3 linked regions of the Arabidopsis thaliana genome follow. The protein of the gene in region 3 interacts with the protein of the main gene of each other region in a pairwise test. Each region holds a gene or a part of one and is shown on either strand. Other genes may lie near its edges.

What was found. The genes of interacting proteins can lie anywhere in the genome.
Region 1: the proteins of AT2G47890 (region 3) and NF-YC8 interact in binary tests that used the Arabidopsis thaliana proteins (3 or more experiments, as listed by UniProt).
Region 2: the proteins of AT2G47890 (region 3) and LKP2 interact in a two-hybrid assay, tested with the Arabidopsis thaliana proteins (one study listed by BioGRID).

What each region holds. Positions count from the first base shown.
Region 1 is NC_003076.8:9,940,139-9,943,251, forward strand, and holds NF-YC8 (nuclear factor Y, subunit C8), read right to left. Parts: upstream 1,310-3,113; 5' UTR 1,162-1,309; coding exon 598-1,161; 3' UTR 531-597; downstream 1-530. Other genes in the region: AT5G27920 (F-box family protein), read right to left, coding at 1,925-2,170, 2,258-2,552, 2,635-2,764, 2,861-3,113. UniProt on the Arabidopsis thaliana protein: Stimulates the transcription of various genes by recognizing and binding to a CCAAT motif in promoters.
Region 2 is NC_003071.7:8,193,982-8,199,079, forward strand, and holds LKP2 (LOV KELCH protein 2), read right to left. Parts: upstream 3,503-5,098; 5' UTR 3,275-3,502; coding exon 3,030-3,274; intron 2,402-3,029; coding exon 811-2,401; 3' UTR 531-810; downstream 1-530. Other genes in the region: AT2G18910 (hydroxyproline-rich glycoprotein family protein), read right to left, coding at 1-150; AT2G18920 (uncharacterized protein), read right to left, coding at 3,772-4,179.
Region 3 is NC_003071.7:19,606,083-19,610,823, reverse strand, and holds AT2G47890 (B-box type zinc finger protein with CCT domain-containing protein), read right to left. Parts: upstream 2,829-4,741; 5' UTR 2,580-2,828; coding exon 2,109-2,579; intron 2,031-2,108; coding exon 1,869-2,030; coding exon of another isoform or gene 1,788-1,868; exon of another isoform or gene 1,786-1,787; coding exon 1,514-1,785; coding exon of another isoform or gene 1,510-1,513; exon of another isoform or gene 1,442-1,509; coding exon 1,348-1,441; 3' UTR 537-1,347; downstream 1-536.

The sequences.
Region 1 (3,113 bases), on a different chromosome or scaffold from region 3:
ATAGAAGAAGATAGAGATAGAGGGGAAAAAGAACCAAACTTTAGATCTGGCCACAATCGTTAATTTCTATGCAATTGAAGTATAAAGAGGAAGAAATAGAAGAAGATCGGCAATAAATAAACGAAAATCAATGGCTTACCTTACCAGATTCGTCGGCAAGGGGAGGATCAGAAATTAATACTTGGATTGCTAACGGCGACAAGAACGAGAAGAAGGTTTCAAGGAGACAATCAAGTTCTGGGCTTGATTGAAGAAGATGAGAGTAACCGACGGTGAACGCAATCGCCAACGACGGCGCTAGATTTTGGGAGGATATTTTGCGGTGTGAAGAAAAAACAAGATTTTTATTTTCTCATATATTACTTTTGGTGCGAGAGAATGAATATAATGTTAGCTTCTGAATATTTCAAATTTCAAACCGAGAATCATCACGCTCCCAAATAGTGTATTGTCCCCTCAATGTCTAAGGTTATACATGTAATAATACATGTGTTTCCGACAGAACATTGTATCTCATGGCTATTTCTTTAAAAAAATTAGATCCATGACTATTTACTACATATTCCCTTGAAAATACCCTAAAACGTATTCCACTTATTAGTTTCCGTCGTCACCTCCTTTTTTCCCACGCGCTTCTTCCTCCTCACCAGACACCGAGGTCCAAGCTCCAGGCCATGCCTGCATTTGTGGTTGTGGTTGGTGGATTCCAAGACTACAACAAACAGGAGTTCCAATTACCATTCCTGGAGGCAGCTCTCCATCGTCAATAGGTGGCATGGCCACAGGATCAGCAGCGGCGGCAACAGACTCTCTCTTTACCTCAATGTCATCATCAAGCAAGAAATCAAAGATAACAGTTTGAGCCACTGCGGCATCGACATTAGATTTCTGTAGCGTGACTCGTTTGCTTTCCTGAGCATGGAGCCACGAACGCATCGTGAGATCCATGATAAACATCTCACATGCTTTCGAGAGGAGGATTGGAGCCTCACTAGCTATCATAGTCACATCCGGATCATACTTCATAATCTTCTTGATACGAGTTATAGGAAGGTCGTGATTTTTGAAATCTAAGTTACCTTCCATCTCTTTTGACCAGAAACTCTTCAGTTGCTCGTTACCTTTCGGTGGCAGCTGGTTGTTGCCGTTGTTGTTCTCCATAAGATTTTTTTCTTTTTTGAAGTTTCTAGTGTTCTAGGCTTGTTATTTTTTTATTTGAAGATTTGCATATATAAAGGAAAAGCTTAAGCATAGATTAGATATGGTGGGATAGTAAGCAGGTAAACTTTTACAACAATGAATCTTAACGCATTTAGTATATTGTTAAGAATATTTAATGATATTAACATTATTTGTTTGACTAACATTATTTGGTTATTATTATAAGAAGAAAAAAGAAAGTGATTTATTTTTACTTAAAGTGTATATATTATACCAATTAATAGTGTTAGAAAAAAGAAATAAAGTAAATACAAAACTATATTTTCTCTATAAAATTGCAAGATAATTTTTTGCTGTACAAAACTTATTTTGAATTATTTAGTTAAAAAATATGTTTTCAAATGTTAAATGTGAAAGCATAATTCATATCATTGCTCGAACACAAAGGAGTTACATGTTGCATCTGATTGGTTTAGCTTTCTGTTAGACTTCAAAAACATATGATCATCAGTTCATCACATAGATCTATTACACATCAACAACTTTCTAACTAGAAATCATTACTTAAGCGTTGTCCGATCTTTTTTACCGGTTATAGCAAAATATTTTACCGCAGCAATTCACTTAAACCGATTCATTTATATGGATCCAAAACAAACCGCTACTAAAGTTTCACTGATTTTTAACATTGAGATTATAAACATCAAAAACCTACAACAGTATAAACTAACCAACACAAGAAACCGCGTTGTTCTTTATGTTTTCAGTCCCATCTAATGCGGCAACCACGAGCATGAAGCGTCTCGAGCAATTCCGATGAGAGCAAGAATCTGAGAGGTGCGAGAAGTTTAAGCTTCTTGAGCCTATTGCAACAGGCTCTTAGAGCAAACTCAAACCCTTCTACAGTCACACGGCTCAGATGAACTAAGTCAACGTCTTGAACCCGACTCAGATTGCTCATCAACATGCATAGAGCCGTATCAGACACCGAGCAATTGCACAAGTTTATCTGCCAAACAAAACACACAACACAAGAATCAAACATGTTTCCAATAGATGCTTCCAGATCTCCATCTATAAATGTTATTTTTTGTACCTGTCGTAGGTTTTTCGAGAAGTAAGCGAGCGCCCAAAAACCCGAATCATCAATATTCTCGCAGAGTTTAACGTCCAAGTAACCCAATTTCTTGCAGCCGGACGCAATGGCTGCTAAACCAACACCGGTTATATTCTTTAGCCCTCGAAGTTCGAGGTGACTTAGAAGTTCTAGCTGCCGGATTTGTTCAACCCCGGTGTCAGTTAGTTCACAGCAGTATGATAGAATGAGTCGGTTCAAGCTCTTGCAACCTCGAGATAAAGCTGCTAAACCATCATCTCCAAAACCGGCACAGCTGCACTCAAAAACCAGAAATCAGTAAGAAAACGAAACATGTCTTGCACATTTTTCATCAAGAATCCACCAAGAAAGTGTACCGGTATAGATCAAGTTCTAGAAGCTTCGAACATTTGGAACCAATATGGAAAATCCCTTTGTCTGAGATATTTGTGCAGAGTCCAAGTTTCAATCTTTGAAGATTCGAACACTTCGAGATATATTCTAGCCCTGCGGTCCCAACGGAACAAAAAACCGTAAGATACCAAAGATGACAATATCTAAAACACAAACGGAGGTTTGAGTTCACATATATCTTTCTATTACCTCTGTCATTTACACCATAACAGTCAGTAAGATCAAGTTCTTGAACAAGCATGGAGTAACATCCAAGCGATTGAAGACCTTTCTCAGTTATCAAATGACAAGACTCTAACTTTAAAGTCCCTAGATTCCGGCAAGACTGAGCTACAGCAGAGATGGCTACATCCGTCACGAATCCGCAACACGCCAGATTTAATGTTTTCAGGTTTAAGCAGTTGCGTGCAAGACTTATCATCCCAATATCCGTCACATCAAC
Region 2 (5,098 bases), about 11 Mb from region 3:
AAGAACCGGTGGTGCCATCACAGGCTTCTGAGACACAGCGGAGGGAGATTCAGGTGGTTTAGGAGTCGCAGGAGGAGTCATAAAGACAGTGTAAGGACCGATTTTTCCGATAACAGGAGGAGGTGTTGATGGGTCTTTGTTGATCGGCATCTTGAAAGTGTTAAATTGAGAGAAAATGAAAGAGAAAGTTTTCAGACAAGAATCTGAGATTAAGAAGAAGAAGAAGAAAGGTTCTTGCTTGCTAGTTGTAGTTGCAAGTTGCAGACAGTGAAAAAGTGGAAGATTAGTTTCAGGGGAGAGAGTGAGGTTTTGGTTCGTCTCTGTGTTTTTTTTCTTGCAAGTGTAAATGTACTTTACTTTTCACACTGACCAATGAAAGAGTCAAACACACTTCACATTTCTTGCATTCTTTTTTTTTTCCTGCTTTTTCCGACGAATCTTTCTTTTCTTTTTTTTGGTCCTTTTTTTTCTTAATAATTCTTCAAAAAAAAAAACAATTATTATATGATCCGTGGAGAAAAGATCTAAACCCTAAACACAATAATTTTGATTTCAATCAGACATGAAACATTTTGGGAGGACAAAAAAAAAGGTTTGGATTTAGATCATTTGGCCACTTGCACTACAAAAGACGTTATGTACAATCCAATTCGTAATATTGCATATACAAAAAAAAAACATTAAGTCAACAGATGAACAAAACATGGACGTATCAAACTCACCATGTACAGACAATATGAACATGTTTTTGATCAATGTATAGATCTTTTGTCCAACACATCTAAATGCCTTTTTAACTTCATCACTTGATCAAGTACTTGCAGTGGTAGAAGTTGCTAGTAACAGTTCATGTGCTTCATTTAACATCCACTCTTCACCGGTCTGACCACCTAATACGACCAATCGAGTTCCTCCGACCACACATGTTGTGTGTCCCCATGCAAACCTCGGCGGACCTCCCTGAACATTCAGTATTCTCCATGCCGGTTTCTCCTCATTTGGATCAAGAAGATAAAGCTGAGAAGCCGAGTCAAGCCCTGCAACCGAACCACCAAAGATCAAGATTCTACCACCGGGAAGGCTGATTGCCACATGGTCCAGCCTTGGTGGTGGAGCTGCCATGCCTCCGGGGAGGCTAGATCCATACCCAATCACAGGTCTCCAACTCGGTTCATCCTCGCTAAGATCCATCGTGTATACATCGTTAGAGCGGAATCTCAAAGTACCGTTTTTAGCTAGACCGCCAAACATAAGAATCTTGCGGTCACCATAGACAGTTAGAGTATGCCCGAGGCGAGATGGGGGAGTCCATGGAACCGGTATCTCCCTCCAAGCAGGTATATCCATCGATAGGTCAAGCAGGAATGTATCGCTGAGTAGAGCTCCTGAATCAGCACAACCACCAGATACAATCAGCTTAGTGCCATCAAGTGTGCACGAACTGTGCCATGATCTTGGTATTGGAGGGGCCAATCCGGATACTTCCCTCCAGCTTGGTGGGTCTGCATCAAGGTCTAATAAGAACACATCATTGAGTAATCCGTGGCTCCCGTAACCTCCAAACACTACTAAACGGGAACCGTTGACACAAGAAAGTGTGTGACCCCAGCGACCCGGAGGAGGAGAGCTGACCAGAACAGATTTCCACTCGGGACTACTCGAGCCAAGGTCCAACACAAATGTATCATTCATCGGCTGCATATTCACACCTTCCCCGCCAAAGATAACAATCCTGTTCCCAACTGCACATGCGCTGAAATTACACCGAGAAGGCTCAACAGTACCTCCAACTGAAAACTTCCTCCATGCTGTTGCTTCGTGAGTGGTGAACTCTCGGGCCAGTCGCACCCAACCAATCCTTTTTGCACCGGGAACACTCTCAAGAACACGTGTTGCCTCGGTACCCCATGTGTTTTGACAGACCATTCTCCACACATCATCATTCTTTGTCAACTCATTGAGCCGCCTACATACACAACCAACCGATGCAATATCACCAGGAGTCAACTGTGACAATATCTTGATAGCTATTACTTCATCACTCAGTTCGAATATCCCACAGAGTCCACGAGAAACATTACGCTCTCCGATTGGTAAAGCAGAAGTAAATGAGCGAGATATTCTAGGAATTTCTTTTGCAGATAAATCAGGAGATGGGCCAAGATCAATTTTTGCATCTGTAAATAAGAGAACGCCTATGAAATGAGTGATTTCGTCTTCTTCACGGATAGGGACTAGACGCAGCTTGTTCATCAAGGGAGATCCATCTTTCCGAAAGTTGAGCAACTCGCCTTGAAACTCGATGCCATTTTCTAGACATTGTCGCATCTTCGCTACAATTGTAGAATCTACCATTGGATGCCTTCTTTTAGTAAATGGCCCTCTACATTGCAAGAAACGGCTGCCAAATAAAAAACAACAGCACAAATCAGATACAAGACCCTCCTATTCAATTCATCGAATAGATAACTAACAACTAAACAGATACAGTACTTTGGCGAACAATTCCTCACACACAAGTATTGAACAAAGACTAAACTATATGCATAATTAACATGGAATACCAGATCAAAAGCCGCTAAAACCCAAGAGAAACATATTCAACAGAAACATATATACTTAGACAAAAACGCATTACAATTCAATATTACAAAAATCAATAATCCCAAGGCTTTCATAAACCAATCAAGACATGTGAAAAACTATCAAAGTTCGAGTTCCTAAACACTAATCCACAGACATAGGAAACATTACAAACTGAACCTCACATTATAGCTTAGTTCCTCCACAACAAACTTCTAATTCAATAACCAACCCATGATTCCAAAATGGTTCTAGCTAATAATACCTAACATAATCAACAAGAACCATAATAATGAATCGAAATATAAATTTCTTTCTGTCAAAACAGCTTTCAACAAAGCTTTCTAGTAACATCGTACCAATACCACAAATGAGACAAAATTCGCTACAGTAAAACAAAATCAACACCACAAATTTAGGGTAAAAGTCAAGAAGAGCAAACTCACCAATTTCGACCAATAACTTCTTCAGCTCGATAACCAGTAACAATCTCAAAAACAGTGTTAACATAAATGATAGGGTTGTCAGGTTCAAGAGCATCGCTGACCACAAACCCACACGGCGCCGTGCCAGGAAGACTACCTACCGGAAACGGAATCGCTCCGTTATCTCCACCGAACCATCCATCCTCCGCCACTTCATCTCCACCGCTGAGATCGGAATCACTATCCCACTCCATTTGATTTTGCATACACACCCACAAAATAAAGCTTAAGCCCACTAATCTTCTTCCTCAGCAACAGGAGAAGAGACCCAGAAGAACAAAGTTTGATTTTGAATCGAGGAATCTGATATCTGTAGGTAATCGAAGTCTCCACAGGAAAAAAGTTCCAAACTTTAGACAAACCCAGAAATCGTCTTCTTCAGGAACAGGAGATAGAAGAACAGATTTTGAAATGGAATCGAGCGAAGAAAAGAGGAATCTGATATTTGTAGGTAATGGAAGTCTCCACCGCCCACTTCTAAGAGGAGGAGAAGAAGAAGAAGAGAGATGATTCGGTCGGTCGATGACTCGGCTCTTCTCAGTGCCTCTCCTTTTCCATCTTTAACCAGACCGGTTTCTTAATTTTACCTTACCGGTTTAGTTTATCTATCCGGTTTACACAAAATATCCTGTAAGTTTCTTATGAGATTTTTTTGGTTTTACCAAATGAGTGTATTAGAATCAGTTTTATTGATTTAAAAACATTAGAAACTTGAATTTATCATGAAACCATTGCATCCAAAACCCAATTCTTGCTCATCGAAACGTTCTCCGTCTTTGCTGAATCCAGTAATAGCTTCAAGCCAATCAATATTTTCCTCTTCTTCTAGAGCAACAAAAGCCGATGCATAGTTGGCTTGAGCAAGACATCGTACTGCAGCCCGCCAGAATGGTGTACGCTTCGGGACATCAAGACGTCTAAGAGCGTTAATAACATCTTGATACAAAAGTACAACACCCCGTCTTTCACGATACTCCGTAATAAAGTTTCCACTATTTTCGATCACGCTTTCAATGATAGACCTTCTTCGAGGTTGCCTTGCACGTCTAGAAGAAGTTTGTACACTGTTACGTGTTTGTGTTACGCCTTGGTTTTGGGTGGTGTCTGCCATATAATCTTGTGTGTTTAGAGGGTAGACATCATCTTCAACTATCCTAAAAGACGCTTTATGCAAATGGAAGAAGGCTTTTACTAAAGGTCAAACCACATTTTTCTGCGGTTTTGTCTTTGCTCTGCAAGTAAAGTTTTTATGTGAAACAAAAACTAATTATGTTGATGTTGATTATTTGTATAATGTTAATTGTTTTTTATTTTTTCGTGTAGGTATTTGCATTAGAGCGATTTACTATCTTTCAACAACTATTTCCATCCAGTTTTCCTTTAATGGTTGAGTGGGCAAAGATATATAAACCGTATACCAAAAATTGTGCCAACAGAAGTGGGGGACACTATCAAGAGATGCTTGTAGACATGAAGGAAGATGAGGTACCTAACAAAATTTCATCTCTTTGTCATATGCATTTGTTCTATATTAAATACTTAGATTATATTTTTTCAGATTAAGTGGCAGCCATATAGCAAAGTTATATTGCCCAAGGAATACACCTCTCAATTGAGTATGGTATTTGCACATGTTCCATGCATCTGCTTTAACACCATCGCATACAACCGAACTATTTGGGAGAGCCACTAAATAGTTTTCCGATTAGGAATGACGAGACCTTGGAGATGGGAGAGCCACCAAACAAGTGGAATGAAAGCAATAGATGGGTTGACCATTCACATGTCACTGAGGTGGTCGAGACTTTGCCGGAGAAAACCAGTAAATCGGCTGATGCAAATGTGAATTGTCTTTTTTTTTTTTTTCTAATACAAATGAATTTGGTTCTCACTTTACTTGATTTAACAGCTGGAGTCCTTGGATGAAAATCACAAGGAAGCGAATGAAGAGGAGGGAGCGAATGAAACGATGGGAGTGAATGAACAAGAGGGAGCGAATGAAACAGTTAGTCATTCTCAATAATACAAAT
Region 3 (4,741 bases):
TGGAGTCAGATGTGGTCAATAATAGGGTGGCAGAAGTGGCGGTCCTTGTGGCGGTGGGCCGCCAAAGCAATCTCGTAGCAGCCAGCAGCAGCACAGACAAGATAGACTGCAAGATTCCACAGTCAGACTAACCACTTAACTCTTTACAAAACACATAGCAAAACAGAGAATGTCTTTACCAGGAACATATCATGTCGGAGAACCCAGAAAAGAAACCACCAATGGGTGGGAAGAAGCCTGGTCCTCCCGGTGGCAAGAACCCTGGTCCTCCGGGTCCTCCTGGTCCTCCGGGGCCCATGACAGATCTCTGAACAGTGTGGTGAAGATGTCTCCAAGGGATTTAGCGCTCTTAAGACAGGAGAATAAACAGAGAAGGGCTCTTATATACAAGTTTGTTGGGGCCTAATCTTCAACGTCAACAAACAGTAAACGAAGAGTGAGAGATGCAAAATTGCTTCAAGCTGCAACCACTCTTCACCAAATGTTCAAATCCAAAAATATTAACAGTAAAATTAACCATCATTAAAATAAAGAACTCCAAGTCAGATTCATATTTGAATTCTAAGAAGAACATAGAGAATATAACCACAACTCTGATACATGATTTAGTGCTTACTGATTGCTCAACAAGTAAAACCCACTCCAGATTCCTTGTTCAACCAAAACTTACTTTACTTCTCAGATTATCATTGGGACAGATTCATCGTAGCAGGAATGATCTGCCAAAAAGTGTTGTCATTTTTTTTTGTATTTTTATACTGCCTCAGATTATTATATATTGGTAGATTGCAAATAGTTGTTGCCGCGAGCCCATGCCTTTGGATGTTTGTCTTCATCGGCCATCCAATTTCATCTGAATAAAAAAACAAGAGTGAAAGCTGCGACGGCAGCGGAATTTCTGTTTCGCCGGCCATCGGGAAGAGACGCTTTTATATTTGGGCTTTAAAAGAAAATGGCCCAAACATGCCAACCTATATTGGGTTTACTATGTTACAACTTGAGCCCATAATATCAATTACATCAAGCCCTTCTTGCTCCATGGATCTTTAATGGGTCCAATCTCACTTTCTAACATTACAACAAGTTCTTTTGCTGCTTGCTTGTCTTGAGATTGTATATAACTGTGAACCATGTTTTGTTCTGTGCTCGTCCATGCTTGCCCTTTGGCAAATTAGGAATCGGAGGCAAAACAAAAAAAAAACTATTCTTAAGTGACAATTTTGAGAGTGTGGTCGATATACAGTGATAACTCCTAAGCTTAGAATACAAAAACTTATCTGATCATACACACTATATGATTCGATTAATACAAAAGATTTTTGATTATCAAAGTAACCTCATCATCATTCATGGATCTGCTGCCTTGGCGAAACGTCCCCTGATTCTTGTCCTGCTTTCTGCACGAACCTTGCGTGATTCATACCTGATGTGTTTCTCGTACCTGTTTCATCAACACATGATTCAAATCCCAATCCTATTGGTGGTGTCTCACTTTTTAAATTAGCTTGTTTACCTTCGAGACTTCTTCTTTTCTTTGTAGCGAGAGAGAGCAGAGTTCCTCTCAAGACTGTTGATCTCATGTGTCATCGACCTTGTACTAGTGATAACCGGAACCATCACAGTCTCTTCCTCACATCGGTTTAAGCAGCCGGAAACGGGAACCATCACCGATGACTCTCGGTCTACATTCTCAGGTTTCTCATCTGACTCCGACAAGTTCTTTAGCAGAGAGCAATATGGAAAGTCCTCATGATCTTGCTGATCGAACCATTTCAGTCCACTCTCCTTCATATTGACAAGAGAGATTTATAAGCTGGAAAATCATTTGACAAGCACAAGAAAACACAACCAATAGCAGTCTCTATTACCAGCTCGCATGTAGAAAACAAATCCGGCGCTAGGAATTGGAACCCGGCATCGATCTCAGCATCTGGGGTTTCAAATTTCAGACAACCAGGCTCAGATCTGGATAGTCCACGGAGCTGTCGGATCATCTCATCTTTGTATTTCCCGCAGGTGGCGTGACGATTCTGGAGCATTTCAAAACATTTCAGAGAAATATAAAAACCGAGCAATTGGCTCGAGAAAAAAAACAGAGCAAGTTATACCTTAGGCAGAGGAGGAACATCCGTGGCCCGGAAGTTATGAGTACCCGACCCGCCCGAAACAATAAGGTCGTTGAGGCTAACGATCTCAGGTGACTCCCAAAGCAATCCGGAATCGAGAGTGAGGTCATCGAGGCCAACGATGGCCAGCAACTCAGGCACGGAGGGACAGCCGGTAAATCCTTCAAAGGGTCTGCGGCTATGAAGGGAGGAAGAGGCGGTGTGGTGTTGCCAGTCGCAGTTCTGGCAAAGAACAGACCTTTCAGTCTCGCAGAAAAGGGAAGAGGGAGATTCGTTGCAGGAGTCGCAGAGAAGTGACCTGAAGTGTTTGGCGAAGAGTTGGTTGGCGACGTGGACTTGCTTGTCGCAGGCGAGGCAGAGCTTGGCGGAGTCAGCTTTGCAGTAGACAAGAGCCACGGAGGAGTCGCAATAGTCGCAGAGGCGGTCACGCTGATGACCTTCTTCTGCTTCCATGGGAGGAGCTTAGAGGAGACGACGCCGACAGTTTTGGTAAGAAGAAGAAGTTGATCTTTTCTTGGGATATTTTGGGGCAACAAAACCAAATTTGGTGGCTTATGTAAAAGCCATATCTTAATTGCATTCTAGGTAATGAATGACGTTAAAGTGACGACATATTTGCTTAGACAAAGTCAAATACATTTTATTTCTTGGGGAAGAAGCTGGAAACCTACACTCTCTTCACCTTCCCGTGCCTTTCTTTACTCATCTCTCTCACTTAACTCGTGAAAAATAGCTCTCCATTTTTATATATTGATTTTTCTTGATATATCGGATTAGCCTAGAATTTAACATAATATTTTGGCTACCACATATATAATATACAGTACTTGGTTAGATTTTTAAAAAGTAAATAAGATCATAACTAATGAAGGGCTCAAGAGAAAGAGTTAATGAAGTTGACCACGAATACATCTCTGAAGATTTTTTAAACCGGGACTAGTCCAGAAAATGGACGTGGCAAATTAGGGACGTTAGAAAAAGGAAGCTCGTTGTTGAGGCAGCGTTGGCCGATTTGATTAACTTTAAAGAAACAGACAAACGAAAAAAAGGACTTTGTCACGTTACCGACATAGCTAGAATGCTCGATACTGAATCTTTTCTTCTTATATTTGTTTTTTGTTTGCCACTATGTATATTAGGTGAAACGGAAATGGATCCCACCATTAATTTTTGATATTGAGTCCAAATCTGCTTATCTCCACTAATACCTCATCATCGTTCCTCGATAACTATTACTCCATGAAGGTAGTTTTCAATTAGAGTTTCCGTACTGAATTAAACCTATTCAAGATTAGCTAATACCATGCATAGTTTGACTTTTAGGGCACGATGGGGAAAAAGAGACAGGATGGGCAATATCTAACATTCCAGCGACACTAATAACATGATCTCGACAACTACTGCCCCTACTTCTCTTGAACAATAACACATATCACAAGATAATCTAGCTAGGTTGCTTTTCCATCCTCGTAACATACTAACATGGCTATAAAAACTCATTTTTCAAAAATCGAAATTGATTCTGAAGCCTTTAATAAAAATACACACAACTAAACTGAAACCAAATGTTCTACCATTTCACTTTGGTGGACTAAACTATTCGCATGAGCTACGTTCCTTTTTTAATTTTTGATTTTTTAAAAAATGGTCCACTTTCCAAGTAATCATCGGTTCTCGATATTTTCTTGGACACGAATCTTGAGCCTATAGGTGGATGCTTTTTTCACGCGCCGGTCAAAGAATCTTGAATCTTATAACAATGACAACAAAGTGAATATGGTTCTTAGTTCTTACACGTTCTGTACAACTTCCGATTAGATTCTCCTATATATTTCCCACGATCCCAAGAAGTTGGAGGTCAAGAAAAGTTGTTCCACACATCATGTAAAGGGATTCTACCTTTATTATTTCTTTTCGACCTTTTGAACTCAGTATAATCATATTTTCTTCAAAAAGAAATCTTCAAGGTCTATATACTACTATATAACTATAGAGGCTTTTACACGCTTCTTTTGATTGGAGAATCTTGAAGTAGTTGATTTTGGTAACTTTAAGTAACTAAAGGGAAATAATTATGGGTAACATATATAAGCATGCAAAGCGTAAATGTCAAATCCATTATTTAGTAACTAATTTACGTGCTTAAACCTGTGAGTAGAGTTTAATCTCAAGTGATAAAAAGCGGAACTAAGGAGAATAATATGCTTCGTTATCTATAAAGCTGATGAGAGGATCGTTAATGTACCGTATATAAAACAACTATTCATATGATTCGTTAGTAAAAAAAATTGTATTTTTTTCTTCTAACATTGTATGTTTTTATTGATTATGAGCATATATGTTTAATTTACTACACGAGCAACTAACGAAAAAACAAAGAGTTCATATATATAAAAAGGTGTACAATTTTTCATTAGAAAATAATAGTAAATTAAACGTGAAGATACTCAAGAATAAAGGAACGCAAAAAGAGCAGTGATTTTGTGTAGCCATGATATACTTGGACCGCGAAAGATCTTCCATCCTCTTCCTCAAACTGCTTTAGTTGCATTAGGCCACTGGTATCTTATCATTGTTTTTCTTCTTACCAAATTTGTATGGTGGAGACTAATTAA